3 linked regions of the Struthio camelus genome follow. The protein of the gene in region 3 interacts with the protein of the main gene of each other region in a pairwise test. Links are inferred from orthologs where the notes say so. Each region holds a gene or a part of one and is shown on either strand. Other genes may lie near its edges.

Evidence for each region.
Region 1: the proteins of DAZAP2 (region 3) and TNIP3 interact in binary tests that used the Homo sapiens proteins (3 or more experiments, as listed by UniProt). The two-hybrid records come from large-scale screens. The link is inferred for Struthio camelus from reciprocal best matches to the Homo sapiens genes DAZAP2 and TNIP3.
Region 2: the proteins of DAZAP2 (region 3) and phospholipid scramblase 1 interact in binary tests that used the Homo sapiens proteins (3 or more experiments, as listed by UniProt). The two-hybrid records come from large-scale screens. The link is inferred for Struthio camelus from reciprocal best matches to the Homo sapiens genes DAZAP2 and PLSCR1.

The regions. Positions count from the first base shown.
Region 1 is NC_090945.1:19,789,598-19,796,861, forward strand, and holds the start of TNIP3 (TNFAIP3-interacting protein 3), read left to right. Parts: upstream 1-4,250; 5' UTR 4,251-4,353; intron 4,354-7,264. Other genes in the region: QRFPR (pyroglutamylated RF-amide peptide receptor), read left to right, coding at 126-223, 1,566-1,969. UniProt on the Homo sapiens protein: Binds to zinc finger protein TNFAIP3 and inhibits NF-kappa-B activation induced by tumor necrosis factor, Toll-like receptor 4 (TLR4), interleukin-1 and 12-O-tetradecanoylphorbol-13-acetate.
Region 2 is NC_090950.1:16,852,193-16,859,792, forward strand, and holds the start of phospholipid scramblase 1, read right to left. Parts: upstream 3,015-7,600; 5' UTR 2,876-3,014; exon of another isoform or gene 2,507-2,875; intron 2,418-2,506; exon of another isoform or gene 530-2,417; intron 56-529; 5' UTR 7-55; intron 1-6. UniProt on the Homo sapiens protein: Catalyzes calcium-induced ATP-independent rapid bidirectional and non-specific movement of phospholipids (lipid scrambling or lipid flip-flop) between the inner and outer leaflet of the plasma membrane resulting in collapse of the phospholipid asymmetry which leads to phosphatidylserine externalization on the cell surface.
Region 3 is NC_090969.1:2,097,688-2,104,755, forward strand, and holds the start of DAZAP2 (DAZ-associated protein 2), read right to left. Parts: upstream 3,021-7,068; 5' UTR 2,881-3,020; coding exon 2,868-2,880; intron 397-2,867; coding exon 275-396; intron 266-274; exon of another isoform or gene 39-265; intron 1-38. UniProt on the Homo sapiens protein: In unstressed cells, promotes SIAH1-mediated polyubiquitination and degradation of the serine/threonine-protein kinase HIPK2, probably by acting as a loading factor that potentiates complex formation between HIPK2 and ubiquitin ligase SIAH1.

The DNA of each region.
Region 1 (7,264 bases), on a different chromosome or scaffold from region 3:
TTCTCTCTCAGGGGGTTGTTTGTGTCTGCATCCATTACAACATACTTACAGATTTAACTTAATGAAAGTTATGTTAACTTATGTAACTTAATGATTCAGTATAAAATGTCTTGATGCAATTTCAGGAAGAAGAAGCGAGCAATTGTTATGATGGTGACAGTGGTGTTTCTCTTTGCAGTCTGCTGGGCCCCTTTCCATGTGATTCATATGATGATAGAATACAGTGAGTATCTGCCATGTGTCATGCAATAAAGTCTTTTTTAGGTTTTTTTGCAATAATGGAACCACAGATTGTGAAATGCTAGTGCTGCTGCAGCATTCAGCTATAATGTACCTTCTGCTAGCAAAGGTTAACGTTGTGCTTATAAATCCTGGATCACTGTCTTGTAATAGAGATACATAATCAACAGCAGATGAATTACTCTGAAGTCTATGAGTGACAGACAGATCTACAGTGCTCACAGAAAACGTAAGTACATTTCAAAAACCTCTTATTAGCTGTAGTGTTTGAGAGCGTAATATATCTGAGAAATCCTTGTATCAGCCCCGTCTTCTCTTCCCTGCTGTAGCACTAAAGATCTGTGTCTTGCTATAAACTGTGCTAGACTTTGTGGAGGGGGTGGGGAGAGGGCACTGTGTCTCCCTCCTCCTGTGTAGGTGCAGTGATAGCAGGTGGGACTGTGCAGTTTGCCGTGTGTAGGAACACTGAATTATTCAGTACCAGTTGTGCTCTACTTGCCAAACGCAACAGTTAATCTCTTTTCTCTCTGTTGCGGAAAAGGGCATAGCAGATAAGTCAGTAGTGCTACAGCCAGTCAGCTGAAGCAAGTGGTGTTTGTGCCTGGGCAGAGCCAGAAATGCTTAAGCTGTAACTTTCAAAAATTATCTGGATTGCCCCCTATTGAGATTGCCCTGAACTGTTCTGTGTAACACTTCACTCTCTTTCCACTGTTAATTTCAGGGATTGTTTCCACTGCTACAAGGCCTTGTTTAACTTGCCATATAAACCCTTGTGCAGTGTCTTCCAAAGCTGCTTAGCCAAGTATTTGAATTCAAGAAATTCAGAGAATTCTGTGATATCAAGTAATTAAAATGTGAGCTATCACCAGGAAGATGCATTTTTACTCTATGAACTCGTCTGTATCAGCACAAAGAAAGAAGCTGCATATGGTCAGTGAAAAGACGGGGATTAGTGTTATCGTGGTAGAGTACTTGAAAATTTCTCATGAATGTGAGACGCAGAGTCAGAGCCTACACTCAGCAGACTGGAAGCTTTCTGTCACTTGGCCATTGGACAAGTTGTTTATTTGTTCATTTGTTTTTTTGCTCACGAGTTGTGTCCTTCAGACTACACTGTTCTTCCCTACATATATACAAAAGCAGGGCTATGTGGTAGGTCTTGATCTTTGCTGGCTAGTGAAATCCTATTGCTAAAATTACCAAGAAAGCACCTTGCTGGAGGTTACTAGACAAAAGCTTCTAATGCCAGATTGGGTGTAAATGGGCTTAGTAATGGGTATTTATACCATTCTATACCTACAGCATATTTCCTTTTTCATTTCCAGGTGACTTTGAAAAGGAGTATGATGATGTGACAGTCAAAATGATCTTTGCTATTGTCCAAATTATAGGATTTTTCAATTCTATTTGCAACCCTATTGTGTATGCTTTTATGAATGAAAACTTCAAGAAAAATTTTTTGTCTGCCATCTGCTTCTGCGTTGTCAAAGAAAACACATCACCAGCCAGGCAACTCGGGAACTTGGGGATTACTATGAGGCAGCAAAAGGCAAGTGCTTCTCTAAGAGATCCCACTGACTCAGATGAGGCCAGGAGGGAGGCATTCAGCGACGGCAACATAGAAGTCAAGTTCTGTGATCAGCCAGCTTCAAAAAGGAATTTGAAAAGGCACCTTACCTTATTCAGCTCTGACCTTACTGTGCATTCTGCGTTAAGAAGTGGACAGTAACATCACAAAGATTTTTAGAATGGAAAAAGCACTCCTTGTATTTGATAACTTTAAACAAACCATTTTAAATATTTTTTTCTACATTGTGTGCAAGGAGGGGAAAAATATTCTGTGGATTATGATAATGTCTGAATAATGGTTGAGAAACTAATTACTTTATAGATGAGGAATAAAAGTTTGGAAAACAGTATTACTGCATGATTTCCAGAAAAATATTTTTCTTCCTGAGGTAACATAGGACTTTTTTGCCCCCTGCTCTAGGTCAACCAAACAACTGCCGCTTGCTTTGTTTACTTTTTGTAAACCATGTTGAACCATACACAGTTGAAAGTAGATACACAGTTGCCAGAAGATATAAACTATGGAAAATATGCATGCTTCCTTTGGACAGCTTGGGAATCTCACCTGGGTCTGACATTGTGAGATCTACTATCTGCACGCCGAGGACAGAGAAACTTCAGATCTGAGTTTAAGAAAAATACAAACTGAGATGCAGTTCTATTTTGCAAAGTATATGAAGGAGCTAGCCAGAATTTGACTTTGAAGAGATGAAGATGTTTACATTGCATGTTTGCTCAGATTTTCTAAGCAGAAAGCATATTTGAAATTAATGTGTGCATAATTAATGTGCTATTTTTACAGGTTAATTCTCTGGGTACAAATACAAATGCAAGTGTACTGCCCTGTAAACAGCATTGTTCCTGCTGAAAAACGTAGAAGTTGAGAGTGCTATACAAATCGAGTGTCTGCAGATGCTAGAGGTGTGTTCTGTAGAGTAAGAAATGAATTTTACCTGAGGTTGTGTTTTAGATACATGGCTTATGGGTTAAATTAGTATTGTTGCCTTGTTCTGGAGGAATATAAGGACTAGCCCCAGAGCCTGATGGACTCGACAGACAACTTTCAATTTAGGACATGGTGTTTTGATCGGGCCCTTTGCTGCTGTCAAGCACAGATTTTTTTTTTCTTTTTTTTTTCCCCTCTGTTGTCTCTCCCTCACCTTCGAAGTAGATAAATCATTGTCTAAAAACAGGGCCAGTGTTCTATTATTTTTAGGCTTTCCAGCAAATTACAAGGCTGAAATCATATGAATTCTGAAAATTGTCAGCGAGCCAAACTGAAACTGTCAAAGATCCTTACAAATATAGGCCTGAGGAAAAAATGTGATCTAGAATGTTATATTGTGATCTGATCGTACAAATGGGGCTCTGAAATAATTTGAGATTCCAGCTGAGATTAGGCTGGATCCTTTAAGAACACGTTGTGATCGTTGGTGCTCTTTTCTGTCATCCCTTATTTCACCTCAGGGACCTTGATGCTCCCTTGGCAGTAACTTTTGAGATGCTTTCACATTGTCACTTCCAAAACTGTAAATGAAAATCTAGTTTGTTATGCTTGCATAAATTAGAAGTAATCTGGTCCTTCTGTAATGTTCATAAATTTCCATTGCATTAGGTATTCTGATGCTGATTTGTGATATATTCTTTATTTTAAATATATATTATTATTTATACTTTATCTCATATACTCTGACACAATGACAGGTTAAGATTCCTGACTTGTCTTGACAGCCAGAAATTGAGAGCACTTTAGTATATGTATTAGATAAAAACACCAATTTCAAAGAGGTATGTTTGGGTAAAATGTCATGAGTGAAATCAGGTTCTGCCTCAGACACTCAGGCAAACGTGCCTCTTTGCATTACCTTGATACTGCTGGTAAGCAACAGCAACAGTATTTGCCTGTGATTATAACTGTGGCTTCCTTCAGGGTCCAGCTCTTCGTTTCAGTCTTTCATCTTTCCCGAAAGAGGTCATCTAGTAAAATTTCTGCCATGTAGATTAGAGACTCAAACTGGCTTATTATCATCCTTTTCCTCAGTTGATGCAAAGTTTTCAGGCTCCTGATGAGAAGTATGTGTTTTAACAGATTCTGTAACTGAAAATCACTTTATTATGTTAAGCTCTTTATTTTTTTATTTGTACTGGTGATTTCAGTGACGGGTTTGAACAGCAAAGGTGACAGTTACTTTGTAAAACTTATGGGTGTTCTATGTCTTTGGGTTTTTTGTTTGTTTCTTCTGTTGTCTCATAAAATGTAACGTCAACAAGTGATTATTGTAGTATTTTTCATTAAAACTCCATTTTGATATTTATGGTGCTGTTTTAGACTGGAAGTGCATTCTATAAACGTCAATATTTCAGTATATTTTTATTTTAAAGATCAGCTTATTTGCACCTTTTTTTTTTTTTTTAGTGATTAAGTTTCAGTTCTGTTTCAGGTACCAGCTTCTACTGTCATCCTTACAGATGTGCTGTAGAGGACTTTTTACAGAAGAAGGTAATAGAGATCAAAAGTTCCAATATCTTGGTAGGAGAGAATTGGTAAGTGTTTCAGCAAAGGCAGAGTGATTAGATTTAGATTAAATATAAGCCAAACTACTTCAGACAATTGTCTTACATCTTAATAAGCTATTATCTTCAGTACATTTTTGACACAGTAGTTCTCTCAAAGCCAGAAAATCTTGTGAGAAATTCCAGCTGCAAGGAATAGAAGAACCTTTATTGACTTAAGCAGAATTTAGATTTTTGCCTATATGTGCATTTGTGTAGGTTTGTGTTTGGGGGAGTGTGTGTTTTATCAAAGCCTCAGCTTTGATTTAACTAACAAAACAACCTGTTGTATTGAATCAGGCCAATTTTCTGTCCAGACTGGTAGTCTGTCTCTTGCAGTGTCTCATGTGTTTCCAAGTGTTTGGCTGTTACTGAGTACTTCAAATCAGTGAAAGCTAACACTGCTATGGAAGGAACAGCCCTGCTCTCCTCCCCAGCTTGCCTGCTTCCTCCTCTCTTACACTGGTAGAATTGCATGATGAAGCAGATCAGAAGACTTTCTGGGTAAAGGCTAACCTGTGAACAGAAAAGATTAATTTTAACCAATCTATTTTCCCTAAGCTGAGAGTGTTTAATAAAACTATTGTGTTTTTTGAAAAAATGCTTCCCCCAAAATGTTTTTTTCTGATCTGCATTAGCTGCAGATCACTTAAATCATGAAGCAGTCTAAAGGACTGTAATTTCTTTGTGGTCCAAATTGAAGAGAAACTTTTCATATTCTCCGCTGTATAAGGTGCCTTACGGCTTATCAGCTTTAAAGCTACAATGAGATAATACCAGGAACTGGCATGTAAATGAAGATACAAGTCTGAAAGAACACATTCAGCTGAACAGAGACTCTAGAAATATGAGTGGATTGGGAAAAAGCATAGGACATGTGGTATTGCTATGGCTGATTCAGTTGCATTCAGACTGTATTGACATCATGAAGAACTGTGGGTAGAAGGAAATTAACCCTTCCAGTGACTGTGTCTGTAACAGGGTAACTGTTTAAAAAATTCTCTCCAAGAGAGGGAGGGTAAATATAATGTGAAATTACTTCCCAGCAGAAGCAACTCTTTTGCTCTTAACTTTTCTTTTTTGGGGGGAGTGGGAGGGAACAACGCAACATTAATTTCAGTGGCCATCAGATGGCTTTATTTGTGGGTATGTTTTTAACCTATAGAATTATGTTCTGGGCTGTAATACTTTGACAAATAGACAGGGAACTATGCTTTTATTTAAGACGCTTGATTCTATTATGGGCTAACACAGTGCTGTGCAGGCATAAAAAGTTTGAATCTGAATATAACGAACACCTGAATAGAGAGTTTGTAGTCCCTCGTAGCATTAGCAAGTTCTTCGTAAGACATTTGTGCTACTGAAAGAGGGGGGAACGTCTAGGTACGGATTAGATGTCCTTTTAAAGTTTCACGGAAGAGGAACTGAACGTGGTGCTTGCTTGTGTATTGTTTGGATGTGTAGTTAGCACTTGTGTGGAATAACAAACAAATTAAGTGCATAGTACATGCGCAGGAGAATGTGAGATCTATTTTAGAGGGGCTGATTAAATGTAGATGAAGGAGAGCCATAGCTTGAATTCTTTTTATTCGGGTTGCTAGATATCTGGACTCCACCATGCGTTGTTCGGTCACTAGTAGGCAAAGTTGTGTTTGTCAGCTATCAGGTAATTCTAACAGAGGAATCTGAGGACTGGATCGGGTGTTGAGCTGAGTTGTTTTTGGCTGGGCAAAGCTGTGTGAGTCTCATCCCTGAAGCAGACTCTGATATGCTAGGTTTCTGGCATGGAGCAAGAAACACTGTCTGGGATACTCGGTGAGCCAGCACTACTTAGAGACAGTGACAACTGCAGATCCTGGAAGAAGCAGCCAACAGCTGTTACCTCAAGTACAGCTTGTGGAGAATAGAAGGAAGGACAATATACTGTTTATACTTGTAGCTAGTCTTATTAGTATCTTTTTAAAATTGTTTACCTGATGCTTTACAAGCCGGTGGAGAGGTGTATTCCTTTTCTGGAAGACTTTGCAGTATGTGGACCTAATTCTACAAAGATATGCATGGAACCTTTTTCATACCTGCTAGCTTCTTTGGAACTGTACACCCATACAATGGTTCATCTCCAGGGCAATAGTTCAGGTAAAGGAAATCATAAAAAGCTGATGGGGAGGATTTATGTAACGCTATTTGGGAAGGAGGATCAAGTTGGCAGTAAGGCAGGGATTACTTATTTTTCAGCAGGATACCTCATGTAGTTAAGATGATGAAGGCAAAGAAAACCAAGTCCTCCAGTTTATTATTCCTTCTGGGTTTGCTCAAAGTTTAGTCAGATAAGTTTTGAATAGAGAAGGCTGTTTAATATTAAACTGTTGTATTGAATTCTGGTATTGGAGCTGCATTTAAAAATGGAGTAGGGGGCAGTAGGGTTTGAGGCATATGGGAGAAGAGCAAGAAGGAGAGGGCCTTTTAAGGGTTTCAGTTTCCTAGGGACCCACCCTGATGATGTGTAGAATCATGAGTTAGTTCTTAGTTGACTTCATCAAGATAATATTGTGGCTTTCTTCTGGTTGCTTTCTTTTGGGCAGAGCCACAGTTTTACGTTTAATACTTAAGTATAAAAAGAAATATTATCAGGTTTTGAATAACAGCTGATTCAATGCTTTGAACTTCATGAGTATCAGCTTCTTTGTTTAACAACAACAACAACAACCCCCCCCCCACAGTTTAGTACTTACCTTCCATTAAAGAGGGTGTTGCATCCTGAGGGCAGAGTCTGCACACTTGGAGATATGGATTATATAAGTCATGGCTGTACATCTTAACATATACTTTAATTAAGACAAAACAAAACATCCCAATTAGTATATTGGCTGTTAGGTTCTATTTGTGCTAAGTACCTACATGA
Region 2 (7,600 bases), on a different chromosome or scaffold from region 3:
GCTTACCAGAACGCCAGTGAAATATGAAGAATTACAGCTGCACCCTTCGATAAACCTGGGAAAGTAGAGACAGAAATAAATCATATGATTTATTTAAGAGAAAGGCCCAGAATCATCATCTTTCTCCCACAAAGACACACAGACTTCTCTGTGGAATCTGGTTTAGAAACTATTGTGATACACAGCCCAGAAGAGGAACAAAGCTTTTACAAAGTTCGGCTCCCATGTTATCAGAAAAGTCGCTGAAGAGTTAAGATTACTTTTAATAAAAATATTTGCTGCTTCTGCTTGCTGCTTTCACCTTGACTCCTTTTGCTGCCTCCAATTCAGTTGCCAAGAGTAACAAACAATACCAGCAACACTCTGCTCTTCTCGCAGATAATCAATAAAGCTTGTGAAACAATAAAATATTCTGAAGAACCAAAAGGAGGAGGAATGAAAGCTCATTTTTTTCCAGTCCTTGTATTATGCAATATCTTCCTCGGGCAGGCTATTACAGGAGGGGAAATTCCCATCTGCTGAAACTTACGGTCAAGAAAACATAGGCAGACAACAGGCAGACTGGTTGCTTTAGAAATGTGCTGGTTTCAGCTGCCTCAGCGACACAAAGCCATGCAAGACCAATAATTTGAAGTCTACAGTTTCATCTAGCAGACAGTTTAGTGAAAAGAGACTTTACAAACAGGTCGGTCTTCCTAGTTCTAGCAGCAATTTTTCAATAAACATGGGGAACACCTGCCCCCAGCTGAAGTGCGCGTGGGCAGGCAAGGAGGGTGGAGAGAGCAGAGCCTCGCTGACGCTGACCCACTAACGGGCTGCTTAAAGAGCTGCTGCAGGTGCTTCACTGCAGGGCTACGCATGAGAGCAGATACCAGGAAAATCCTAAATGCTCTGTTCAGTTTTGCCCTTTTCTGACCGAAATTCACACAATAATTCATAGCTCTGAGTCCACTATCTTGAAGAGAACATAGGCAAGAGAAATATATCCTCTTTTCCCTGGAGGAGGGGACATAGCAGGCAAAAGCAGAAGTGATTTTGCTAGCAAGAAGGAAGCATTGAGGGCTCTGGGGACAATTGATGCAAAGCAGCTGTCTGTTAACTACAATTATGAAATATGGCCTCTGAATCTTGTGAGGCCTCCCTGCTTCCTCCGCTACGCCTACAAAATGAGATTGAGAAGGGCAGCAACTTCCAGCGTAAGCTGCAAAGCTAACTGTCATGAAAAACACCAATTTAACCCTGCAGTGTGACTTCCGACTTCAATTACTGCAGTGCAGAAAGGAAACTAAAGAAACCACACATACGCAGCCCTCCAACTGTCAAGGACAGCGGTTCAGCTGCAGGTCAGCAAGCTGTCGTCAATCCAAGACCCACATGCTTCATATGCTGTGCTACTTACAGGAGAAAGAAACTAAAATCAAGAAGTCTCATTTCCTCATATCCCTCTACGCGTTAGGTATCCAGGGCTAGTATTGCCATTTCTTCCTCCTCATCCATAAGAGTTCCTAAACTCTTCTCTTTGCTCTCAGAATCTGCACTCATTTCCATAGACAGCCTAAAACCTTTCACTTAACACTAGCATAGCTGGCCAGTTCCTTATCTTCCTGGCCTGGCAGAATTGTTATTCAAAGGGGCAACACAGAAGTAACCATTAGATGGATGCAGATGCCCAGAGCACGGTGCTCTTCCCCATCCAGTGGGGGTTGAGCCTAGGCACCTAAAAACAGCCAAAAACTTTTGGAAAGGAAGCGGAGGAAATACCATCTCTAAAGGAAATCATAACAGAACAGTTCCAGTTTACAGAATAGTAAGGAAATAACGTTCCTAGACTGTCCCCCCTTCCCCCTGTTTTTTTTTTCCTTTCTTTTTAAGGAATGGCAGACTCTTTCTCAGTTGTTTTCTCATTTTCAGAGCTGCATGACACTGCTTCAGTTTCTAGATCTCTCTTATCCTGTTGCATGTCAGTAGATATGTGGTAATTAGCAGAGAAATTAGGTATGTCTTCATGAAGTTAACTACAGAGCTTCCACTCCGTTATCAAAAAAAGCACATTGGTTTCATTTATGACGAACAGTTACCGTTCTCATTCAAGTCACTAAAACAGTACCACGAGCATATGAACGTAAGCTGCACAAGTACAAACGTCACGCTCAGTCATTTAAATACCAACACAGGGCCATTCCCGAGAAGGTTCACGACTGGGAGAACACACTTACAGAGCCAAATAGCTGTAAGGCACTTCTTTTCGTCACACCCATCACATTAGCCATTGGATTTTATTTAACCTTGACTGCTTGTGAAACAACATCTTAGAAATCAAGTTAATCTAACAAAACAGATATTTGTTTGTTAAATTTAACAAACAGTTTCCAAGAAGGAACAAAACGAACTATAAGTTGATATAAAGTTATTTTGTTCTGGTGCAGCGAGGTACCCCCTCCCCTCACAAAGACATCTCCCCCAAAACCTGGGGGTCACAACACCCGAGAGCAGGGAAAAAACCCACCCGGCAGCAGATCACGCAGAGGCCGGGGCACGCAGGCTGCCAGCGGCGAGGGCCGATCTCGGAGGGGGCTGGCAGGCGCCCGGCGCAACAGCCGTACCGCAGTCCGACTCGCAGCGCAGCCTGGCACGGCGCTCGCTAGGCAAGCCTCCGCATAAGCTCCTCTTTGCGAACCACAGTGTTATTTTGACAGCTCTGGCAAGTAACCGTTGCTAAGGAGACGCGTTTTTAGCTTCACTCTCAGTCACCGACTAGCAAACATCAAACCCCTTTTGCAGCCTACCTAACCATTAAGCAGTGCTGGGAGGAAACGAGGAGAGACAACTCAGAGGACCGCCTAGAAGGCGACACACACGGTACACAGATCCTTACGTTCTCAGCCAAAATACCCGTCCCCGAGGAAGAGGAGCCGCTCTCCCGCCGCCCTCACCCCGAGCGAGCCGCCACGCCGCACCAACCCCGGCTCGAGCCGCCCAGCGCCGCGGCCCGGTCCGGCCCTAAGAGGCAGCCGCGGCGGGCGGGGGGGCCGGGCGGTGCCGGGCCGCCCCGAGCCGCCCCGAGGGGGCCGCCCCGCCGAGCCGCGGCAGCGGGCGGGGAGCGGCCCGTTCTCCCCCTGCCAGTATGAAATCATATTTACGAGCGACTTTCGACCGAGCACTGCCCGCAGATTTCCGCCTAGTCCTCCTCCGTCATCTCCCCCCGCTGCAAACAGCTCCGACATCCCTGGCGGCACTGGGAGCCCCACGAAGAGACGCCGTCGCCTCATTCAGCTGCCGTCTTCGACTGTCTCATGGCAGCGGGACATAGGGTCAAGCATTTAAGTGATGAGCAGTGTTTCTTGCAAGGTTTTCTTGCGGTTTAAGGTGGTAACGTCACTGCTAACTCCGTATAACTTCTAAAATTCAGATCACTACGGTATTTCGTGGAGGAGGTATGGGGAGTCAAACTTGCCCATGTAAATATTAACTTTTATATGTACTATCAAATGATTATTCACCATAAAGGATAATCCTAAGCAAATATCTCAGCCTTCCTATAATCTTTACACTATCACCTTCTCCTGTGTGAAAAGCAGCTTCCCGTACAATCTAAACATTCGCTAACAACACCTGGTTTCTTGAAAACACGTGACAATAGAAGAAAAAACCTTTGATTGGTACTTCCGCTGATGCCCTGTTTCTGAAAGATTTTCTGAAAACAGGTCAGCTGAGGAAATGATTGCCTTATTTTTTATTTTGATGTCTGATACTACATAATATTTCTTTTTAATATAAGGGTATTAACTGGAGAAATAAAGATGCAGTACAACGGATTCATATTCTTAAAGAAACACTGTCTTTAAGTCTGAAAAGGTCCAAACTTTCTAAAAGTTTCTATAACTTCTAAAGCTGCTTTATTTTGAAAACATCTGCCTCTAAAAGGCTACCTTGGGAGTGAGTCTTACAAAAAGGGACAATTTCATGTTGCTATGCAGACATACGTGATGTGAGAACTGGAATTAGGACTGGAGACACCTATTCATTTCTTCACTTTTTTGATAATAAATTTAACCTTACAACCTCAAATCCAAGAAGGACCCACAACATGTCTGCCTTCCAAACTGTGTACAAATACAGTCTGCAGGTGGTCCCAAATTTACTGCACTTTCCTGCTTCCACATAGGCTCTACAGAGCTACTCACCATCCTTAATCTATAATAGAGTGGACCGATATAGTGATGAAGGGAACAGGGAGCCCTGAGAAGAAAGTCAGCAAAGACTCTCAGTAGGCCTCTCACCTGTGCAACTAGGGTTTTTGTCCCAGGAGAGGATTGCTCTGCAACCGTCACACACTGCTATGTTTTGCACTCTACCACCTAAAAGCAAAGGCTCATCAAGGTTTCTGTTAAGTAAAATTTACCATACTTTTCAAGACGACAGGCATAAAGTTACATTTCACAGAAGTACCTCATTTGTTGGTAGATTTGTTGTTGGATCATGGGAAATGCTAAACCCTTCCCTTACAGCTCAGTTTTTTATGAAGAGAGTTACTTTACTAATAAAATATGTTTTGCATTCAAAATATTTTCAGGTTAAAGATTATCAGAGATGCAATCAACATCAACATTACATAGATTAGTGATGAATCTAAAACGGAAATGCCTGATTTTATAAGGGTCATCGTAGACTCATGCAATGCTTATTCCTGATAATCACAAAATGTTCCTGGGTTACAGAGAAAGTAATATAACACTCAAGAGGATTGCCTTGCAGAGAGATTTCTTTAAATGTCACTTTTTAGAATTTATCTTGTATAAAAGCAGGATTCTCTGAAATGAGAATCCTCATTTCAGAGACTAACAAGATATTTTCTTAAATTTTAAATTTAATAGTGAATTCTTCTGCTAGTTTCTTCAATGATTTTGATCAAAAAAAGCTATTAGGCACTTCTGAATTGCTGTTCAAACGCTTAAAAGTCATGCCTTTTATTCTTCAGAACTCTTGGATATTGTTACATGCATTCATTTACCTGTATCAGGTGCAGGTAAAAAACTAAGGAGATACATTATGCAAACCTTATTTTCAGGACAGCAGAATTATAAAATAGAGCAAAGAATAGTTCTGTTCTGTCAATAAGGGTCTAAATATGGCATCTACAGTAGCAAAACACACTTCTGATGTTTCCATCTGCGGGCTGTTGCTATCCCTTTCTTTCATTATCCATTCCCACTACACAAGGCTTAGGACTGCTTTCAGACAAGCTCTATTATCTATGAAGATCATCCTGTCTGATGGATTAGTAGAAACAAAAAAGCGTGATGTTTTCACAAGAAATAAAAAGCCTGCTCCTTCTGTATTAAGGACTAGCTAGCTAATTCTTAAAATACATTGATCAAAATGTCAAGGACTTCATAGAGTGTAGCATGACTCTGAAACATGAAGTATTTCATACCACATTAAATATAAGCCCATCACCTAGGTAGTGCAAAAAATGAAATTATCTTCACCAGATCCCACACCTTTGAATATCTCTGCAGCAAAGGTACTGCCATTCACCTTGGATCACATTGTATCTATATACCTTGAAGTTACAGATGAAGAGAATTCAGGGCTTAAAGGTTCTAGAGCATGAATTAGACACTTACAGTAAGAAAGCAAGCACCAATCAAGACAGCTTCTCCAAGAAAGATGGGGGCACAGTAGCTGTCAGGATTTGACTCTAATAAAATACAGACATAATTAAAAACGCTGGGTATTTTTCAGTAGCTTTAACAATTTGAATATTAACAATTCCAATTAACTAAGGAAAATGAAAGCTATAAAACATTCTTTTAGACTAATAATTTATCCAGTTGAACATCTTTAAACCCCTGTTTTTGCCTTAACGATGAGGTAGACTCATTTGGCATTTAACTGTGCACCATTTCAAGTTTTCTGTTGAGATTTTCAGATGGAAGACATCAATTAGTGTGTCCAACTGCACAGCTCTCAGCATGAAAATTCTTGAAGATCCAGCGTCAATCAGTCTAGGCTTTTCTTTAGGCATTATTACTCAAATATATTCAAAATTCTAAATTGATTCATAGCTATCCCAGATTTGACATTAGATTTGTGCCTACCGGCGTCCAGTCTTTACAAATGTTGTGTAGACAGTGTATGTGGAGGACATTGAGGGGAACATGATCTTAGGTGTCTTCTCTGTCTAAGTGTTCAAATCATTAAGGCCTTGGGTACCTTGGGTACACAAGGCAGGTCAAAATGTTCCGTCAAAGTGGATGAAGGTCACCTAAAGTAATTCAGAGGGGAAAAAAAAATCAATACCCTAAAATTATGGCTACAGTCTCTGTGTCTTGTGATAAGTCAAAATGAAAACCTAATTTGCGGAATCTTTAAAGATAGTGGACAGCGAGAAAAGTAACTGTTGCAAGAACAGCAGCAGCAAAGCTGTGCGAAAGGTCTTTGCACTGGTATCTTTTCTCCTCTAAACTTTCATGAAGAGGAGTAATAAGAATACGTATAAGAACTTAGGGGAAAAAAATTGTTTGCCTGCTGCAAAATACATTCTTTGCTATACATTTGTGTATTTTGATTTCATAACTGTTTCAAAGCCAGTAATATCTGAAAAACGAGACACTACTCAATTGCTCATTGTGTCCCAGAAATGAAAACAGAAACAGTAGAGAGAGATCAACAAAGTCCCAAATTTACAAATACAGATATGTTTTCTTGAAAAATTTATAATCAGCTAGAAGGAACACTTCTTCTATAACACTTCTATTCTCTAAACATAACCTTGTAACTGTTTGCAATTCTTTAAATTTAAAGTAGACTACTGAGTATTTTATCTGTCCTTCAAAAAATTGAACCATTTGATACCAAGAATTTGGCTAACTCTTCTGAGGAGGCCTTGCAGATAGCTGAGAGAGATGGTTCCAGCAAAAAAGAAAAAAAAAAGTGAAAAGAGGTATAGAAATACTATCTCTAGAAACTAGCAATATAAAATCACAGTCAGAGCAAAAGGGGCAACTGGGAGCAAAGAAATTAAGAAATAAAGGTAAATAAGTAGGTCATATCTGAGTTATCAGTAGTATGAAGGAAAGAAAAAGAAACTTTAAAAGGAGGCACTTTATGGGATGGTGAGAAGAGACTATATGGTCAGGAACTGCCCCCCCACAAGCCAATCTGCTGTTGAAACCATCATTTTGTGAAACCACATTATCAAGTATTAAACAGTAGCTCTTATGAAAATGCCCTACTGAAACGTAGATAAACCTGACGTGTCATTGCTCTCCACTTTGCAACATACCTTTGGCTGTCCTTCAGCGTGCGGTACTACAGCGTGCCCCGCTGACTAGCTAGTACATTGTGCTATCCATAATTTAGGATAAACTTTGGGATCCTGCGATCCATTTAAATTCCTCAAATATAAAAATGAAGGTGGTATGTAAACATTCACTAGCATCGTCTTTTATCACAAATTTAAGAAAACGTACTACCTGTTTTCAGTATCCTAACCCAGGAGGGCTGTTGAGCACGAGAGGGGGGCAGCCAGCGCCTAATGGGACTCCTGACAGGTAGCCCTGAAAGACAAAATTACCTTGTCTTAAGGAAAGAACAA
Region 3 (7,068 bases):
CTAAGACAAGTTAACTTAGATGTATTTTAAATCTACAGGTTGGCTAAATTTGTCATCTTAACTCAAGGGGAAGCTGAACAGTGTTTGTCGCTTCAAGTGGATGATTCGGGTCTCATGCGAGAGACTGTGGGGACCGACTGCTGCCCAGCGATACGAACAGCAAACAAATCTTCCAGGCTAAGAAAATCCCTGCAGCTAAAAACCTCCTGGAAGAGTTTTCTCTTTTGGAGGGGCCCCAGAATAAAATAAACCTTAGGAGAAGGATCCTGCGTACCTCAGAATAAGCAGGAGGTGCGTCCGTGTATGGCGGCGGCTGAGGAAGGGCCATAGTCTGTGGGTACACGGGAGGATTGCCCGGAGACTGGACCGGGTAGGACGGCTGGGTGGGATATTGTCCTGCAAGGAAGAAAAGAATTCAGCCAGAGTCAGAAAACGCTCCGCGAAGCTGGGCAGGAAACTGCTGAGTTTGCGGAAAGCCCCTCTTTTCAATTCTCACGTGAGCAGAGTAACGGATCTAGGAGCGTCTGCACACAATGAATTAGAGGCGTTTCAGTCGGGGCCTAATAGCCAAACGGAGAGTGAAAATCCTTTCCAGGAATCAGGCTCCCGAAAAGGGCAGGAAGCCTGGCGAAGGGAGTCAACCCAACGGCGTCGTCCCCGGTCGCCGCTCGCGCTCGGACTCGCGAACTCTCCAGTCGACTCGCAGCCTCAGATTTGGGGCGATGCGGGAACGACACCGCCCCGAGATCGGGTTTCTCTTTGAAGCTCCTAGCGCGTCGCCACCAGCGAGGCTTCCAGGGAGCATCTCTTGGCGATCTTAACGTTTTATAACGCAAGACCCGTCCCTCCGTCTGCCTCCCATCCCGAGAAACAAGTGCTGCGTTTGGCTCGTACTGAAGAGAAAGGGTGCAACGCGCTTTGTACTGCCAGCAAAACAAACCAGATCTGACGCGGAGACGATACCTGCCACCCCTGGGCCTTTTAAGCTGGAGCAGAACAAAGATCATGTCTCCGTGACATGTCTTTCACCTGCCAACCTAAGCGGTTTCAGAACAGAGTTAATCTTTAAGTGAAGACTGTTAGGGAATTGCATTTAATTGCTCTGTCGCATCCGGAGGTTGCCAACACGGTTCAAAGAGCAACTGGTGCTACGGTCCGAGCTCCGAAGGCGTTCTTCTCCCCAAGCCGGCACAGCGGTTGGGAGCGAAAAAAACAAACAAACAAACAAAAAAGCAAAAAAAAAAAAAACCCCTGTGCGTGCGTTTGGGTGCAGGGAGGGAGGAAGGGGCGAGCGGGGAGCTTTGCCGTGGCACGGTCAGGCCAGGGCCGAAGCGCGGCCCTGCGGACATCTCGGCTCCCTCGCAGGAGCGGAGACTTGGAAGGCGCCTCGGGAGCGTGAGTCAGGTTGGGCCGGAGCGCTTAGCAGCGCCCTTTCGCCGCCGCGTCCTGCGGGAGCCGGCCGGGGGGGGGGTCCCGCGGGTGCCCCCCCACCCCGGGGGGGGTCCCGCTCCCTATGCTGTCCCCCGAGGGTGAGGGGTCACCCCTTTGCATGGTAGGTGGGGGGGGGGTCTCCCCTACCCCAGTGGGTTCCCCCCCAGGGGGAGCCCCCCATCACCAGAATGATCCCCCCTGTCACCGGGGGGTCCCCTATATCATTTGGGGGGGGGGTCCCATTCCTGCATCCCCTAAACCCAATGGGGGCCTCTTACCTCATCCGGGGGTCCCTTATGTCATCCAGGGGATCCTGCTACACCAGCTCCCCCTACATCATTGCAGGGTCCCCTAGGTCACCCAGGGGGTCCCCCTGCTCCAGCCCCCTGCCCCCAACGGGGTCATCATCAGGAGGACTTTATGTCACCCAGGGGGTCCCCCTGCCCCCAATGGGGCCCCTTACATCATCATAGGTTCCCCTATGTCACTCAGGGGGTCCCCCTGCTCCAGGCCCCCCCTCCCCAATGGGGTCACCTTACATCATTAAGAGGTCCCTATGTCATCCAGGGGGTCCCCCTGCCCCCAATAGGGTCACCTTACATCATTGGGGGTCCCCTATGTCACCCAGGGGGGTCCCCTTATATCATTGAGGGTCCCCCTATGCCACCTAGGGGGTCCCCCTGCCCCCAGTGGGGTCCCCTTAAATCATCAGAGGCCCCTATGTCATCCAGGGGGTCCCCCTGCCCCCAATAGGGTCACCTTACATCATCGGGGGTCCCCTCTGTCACCCAGGGGGTCCCCCTGCCCCCAGTGGGTCCTCTTACATCATCGGGGGTCCCCTCTGTCACCTCGGGGGTCCCTCTGCTCCAGTTCCACATCAACATATAATGGGGTCTCTCTGACGTCATCCGGGGGGGGTCCCCCACTCCAGCTCCCCCCGACGCCTAATGGGGTCCCCCTGACGTCATCCGGGGGGGATCGCCGCTACGTCATCGGGGGGGGTCCCCCTACCGCAGCTCCCCCCTCCCACGTGACCGGGGCGGGGGGAGGGGGGACTCCGCTCCCTACGCACACGTCACCCGCGGGGGGCGGGGTCCCGCCTCGCCCCGCCCCGCCCGAGGCGCGCGGCAGCCACAGGGTTAAGGGCCGGGCCGAGGCGCGCGGCGCCATGGCGACCCGCGCGCGCGCCCACCCCTCGCTCCCATTGGCCGAGCGGCGCCCGCGCAGCCCCGGCCCGGCCGCGGCGTCACGCGCTGCGGCGCGGCCCTTAAAGGCGCCGCGCCCCGGAGCGGGCCGGGGCGGGGGGGGCGGGGGGAGGGCGAGGACCTGCCGGGAGTCGAGTCGATGCCCGGGGGGGGGGGGGGGAAGGTGGGCGCGTCGCGGCGGGGCCCCCGCGTCCGGGCGGGGGGCGGGGCCTCGCGCTGCCGGGGCCTTGCCTTTGCTGTTCATGGCGGCGGCGGCGGCGGCGGCGGGGGGAGGCCGGGGCGGCGCTGGCGGTGGCGGCGGCGGTGGCGGCGGCGGCTCCCGCTCTGCCCGCTCTGCCGCGCGCTTCCTCCTTGTTGTCACTGCGGCGCTGAGGGAGGGGGCAGGGCCCGCGCGGGGGGAGGGAGGGAAGGGGGCGGGGCCGGGGGGGAGGCGGGGGCGGGCGCTAGCGCCGCGCTGCGCCTCTGCGTCATCACGCACGAGGGGCGGGGCCTGTGCTCTTAAAGGGGCCGTCGGCTTCGGGGCGAGGGGGCGGTGCTCGGCGGAGCACCGCCCCCTGGGCGGGGGGTGGCGCCCCTAAAAGCAGTCGGCCTGAGTGGGGCCTGGAGAGAGGGAGAAGGCCCCAGGCAGGGTCTAAGAGCAGGGGCCTGGGGCCTGAGTGGCCTATAAGGGGCTAAGAGCAGTTGGGGGGGGGGGGGCAGGTAGGGCCTAGAGTAGTAGGGGGGCCCCAAATAGGGGTTGGGGGGGGAGAGAGGCCTCTAACTAGGTCCTAAAAGCATGGGGGGGGGGCAGCCAGGCCCCATAGGTGAGGGGAGAGCCTACACAGGGCCTAGCAGGGAGGGAGAGGTTCCCTAGGCAGGGCCCAGAGTAGTTTTGGGGTCCTCAGTTCAGGCCCCAGGGCAAAGGGGGGGGCCCTAAACAGGGCCTAGTATGGAGCCAGGTGGGGCCTAAAGTAGTTTTGGTGCCCCCTGAAGAGGACCTGGGGGATAGGGGACCCTGAATCAAGAGCTAGTAGGGAGGGGTATCCCCAGGCAGGCCCAAGGGTTGGGAGGGGGAGCACCCTAAGAAGGGCCTCATGTACAGGGAGGGGTCTCCAAGCAGGGCCTAGAGTAGTTGTGAGGTCCCCAAGCAGGCCCTGAGGGAAGGGGGACTCCAAAGCAGGGCCTAGCAAGGAGGGAGGGATCCCCAGGTAGGGCCTAGAGTAATGGTGGGGGTCTCAGGCAGGGTCTGGGGGTGGGAGGGGGGGGTCCCTAAGCAGGGTGTGGGGGTGAGGGAGGTCCCTTTGCAGGGCCTAGGGGCACTGAGGGGTCCCTGGCAGGACCCAGCCTGGCCCAGCTGCCTGCGCTGTCCAGCAAGAGCCTTCGCAGGGCTGGGGTGGCACCGAGGAAACGGAGGGGGAAGAGCCCCTGGCGCTCTCCCTGCTTCCTCTGGGATTAGACGCAACTCAAGAAGCCACCTTCGAGTTCATGCATAAAAGATCAATGGAAATGGTTGGTAACCTCCAAATATTGTTAAGCTTAATTAAGCCTTTAAGGACTGTGTGAAGCATCAGTGGGCAGAGCTGCTCGTTAGCACAGTGAGGGCTTTGTTGGTTACTGCAACCTGAGCTCCAGGTTATGTTAGTTCTTCTAAACCGTATGCTTGGGGCTGTTGTTAAAGACCCCAAGTCCTTCCTCAGACCCCATTTTCTGCTTCCCTGTGGCAGTGAGCCCACAGCTGCCCCAGAGACCTTCCTTTCGGACGGCAGCATCCTGCAATGGGACCCATCGGCGTTGGTGTGCCCTCCCCCAGCGCGTGGGGAGGGCACAGAGCGCCTCTTGCCTGCGTTAAAGAACAGGCTCCTTCCTGGAGAGACTGTAATGTGCCCTTCTCGCCATGAACGTAGCCAAAACGTTGCTAAGAAGTTGAAGGTAAAGATGCAGGAGGAAGAGTGCGTTTCTTGGGCTTCGGCCCTGCTGCTCCCCTTCATCCAGCAATAGCACAGCAGTACATTTATGGAAATAACAGGTCTTTGGTTCAAGCACCCTCTTGCCTTGAAATTAGGCCCACTTTTGCAGAAGTGGGCAGTTCCCACCCCCTTGGTGCGTTTGCCCTGAGCACCTGTCAGCTGAATCAGCGCTTGTGATCTAACCTTAAGAGACTTCCCCAATTGTAGCCTGTCCTTTAAGGACTTTGGTATGAGCTTAGGGTCTAAATACTGTTATAAAAATCTGTTGCAGATTGCTCGATAGGGTTTGGATCATGCTGTCATCGTGGGACTTCAGACATAACAGGAGCAAAAGTAAAGCTCTTCAGCGAGGTATGGATCAGCTGCTATGTACAGACCTGTTGTCACGATCCCCTGCCCAAGATCCACCAGCAGAAGGTGCAGTCACAAGTCTGGAGCTGTGTATGGAGAAGGTATGATGCAATTCCCTAGTAGTTTCTATGTGTAAAGTCTTCCTTCTTGGAAATGAGTTTAAAAAAATCCATATGGATTGCAATAAAAGGAGCCCAAAAAAAAAAAGAAAACCAACCCCCCTTTCTTTCCTGATTTTTTGCTAAACTTTCTATCTGCATTTTGGTCAGAGTTTGAGGGCAGAACCTTCTTTATCAAGCTCATTTTCAGGCATCTCAATCAACAATATCATTGTTCTCTTCCTGTTTAAGTGAACATCTCATGAATAATGTACCGGCTGCCTGATGAATATGCACAATGGCTGGTGTGCCTGGGAGGGCTTCATAAATGATTCATGCCCAGAAAATGTTCTTCACCTTGCAACTGTACGGGAACTGTAAAAAAATATTTACCCTTTAAAGTGGGAGAGATGGCCTGAAACCTGCCCAGGGAAATGCTGAGTGAGGTGGGCTGGAGTTAAGCACAGCAAAAGCAAGGGAGAGCACCTCCAAGCAGTGAAAGAAGCTGCATCCAGGAAGGTGATTTCCGAGCTCTGATTTCCCCCTCTACAACCCAGTCCTGGAAAGCCCCAGAGCTTGCTGAAATCACTCAGAAACGAGGCTGTTCAGCAGCTCCCGAGTTCAGGCCTTATTTATTCTAACAAATACATGACTACTTCTGCTCTGCTGACATCCCTATACAGAGAGCTTCCTTGCACAGGAGAAGTGAAAATGCTTTGGGAGGTGCAAAGGGCAAGCATACACTTTCCATTCAGAAGGGCCAGGCTCTTCAGAAGGCACCTACCTTCAAATGCCTTGGGATTGTTTTTATGTGTATTTTTATCACTGATTACCTTGTTTAAGGGCCTCTTGGGCCTCCAAGAGGAAAACTCCAGTTACCATCAAAAGCTCTGGAGGAAGAAAAAAAAAAACCAGCTCATGGTGTCTTGAGCTGTGCGGTCCCAAAATGGAAACCTGTGAAAGTTGAGGCAGCTTCTGGATGCTTGGCCGTGTGCCAGCGGGCTTTGCTTCCCACGCCGGGCAGTTCTGAAAGGCAAAGGGACTGTCTGCAAAGAGCCGGGTGTCGCCTTGGCACTATGCAGGCATCATGCAAAACAGATGAAGGCATAAATGGTCCCAGTCTGCCTTTTGGGTGAGCAAAGGCCCACTCTGGAAGTCCTTATTTACCCGGCGGGAGGTTATTTAACCCCGATGGAGAGCAGAACTGGCTTGGGTAATACCTATGATTTGCCACTTTAAGAACATGTGAAAAGTCAGCTGAGGATGCTGCTGGCCTCACAAGCAGGTACCTGTTTGTGAACTTTGCTCAGGTGAGCAATCAGAGGTAACAGGTTGTTTAAGGCAGTGAGCACCCTGCAGGTGTAGGCCTGTAACTAATTACCTAAAAATAATGACTAAACAATTGAGAATTACTTCATGATATCTTCCACCTAGGCAACATTGTGCCCTTCCTTTCACCACCAATGAAGTTCAGGGGGTTCTGTCCCCCTTGGCTTTACGTTGGGTGAAATTTGGTCCCAGTAACAAAGTGACATAAGGAAGGCCTGAAAATCCCATGGGAATTTTAGAGCCTATTTACATCTTCCGGGGAGAAGAAGAAGTCCAAGGCCAGATCTAGCATGGTGCTGGAGAAGCTGCATTAAGTCCCCTCTGTGACTGCTAAAAGCATGTGCTTGAGCTCAGATTCAGCACAGTTTGTGAGCAACTGGAGTCACTTTGCTGCATGGAAGCCAAAATAAAGTCTGGCTTGCTTTTTCCTGCACTTTCAGTCACTCTTGGAACATCTGGAATAAGCTGGTTCATGGAATATTTGTTCCTTGTAGGACTGGAAACCATTCTGTAGCAAATTAGATGTGCCAGAAACCACATGGTCAGGTGCAAACCCTTCCCTGACCCATTACTGAATCTGATTAGAGCAGCCAAGTCAGCAAAAGAAGTGTGGACAAGAAAGCTGCAATATTAATTTGGTCACCTACCAAGAGCTCTCATCGACAGAGCAAGCTCTGGAACAAAGGACGCATTCTTACAGTCAGCGTT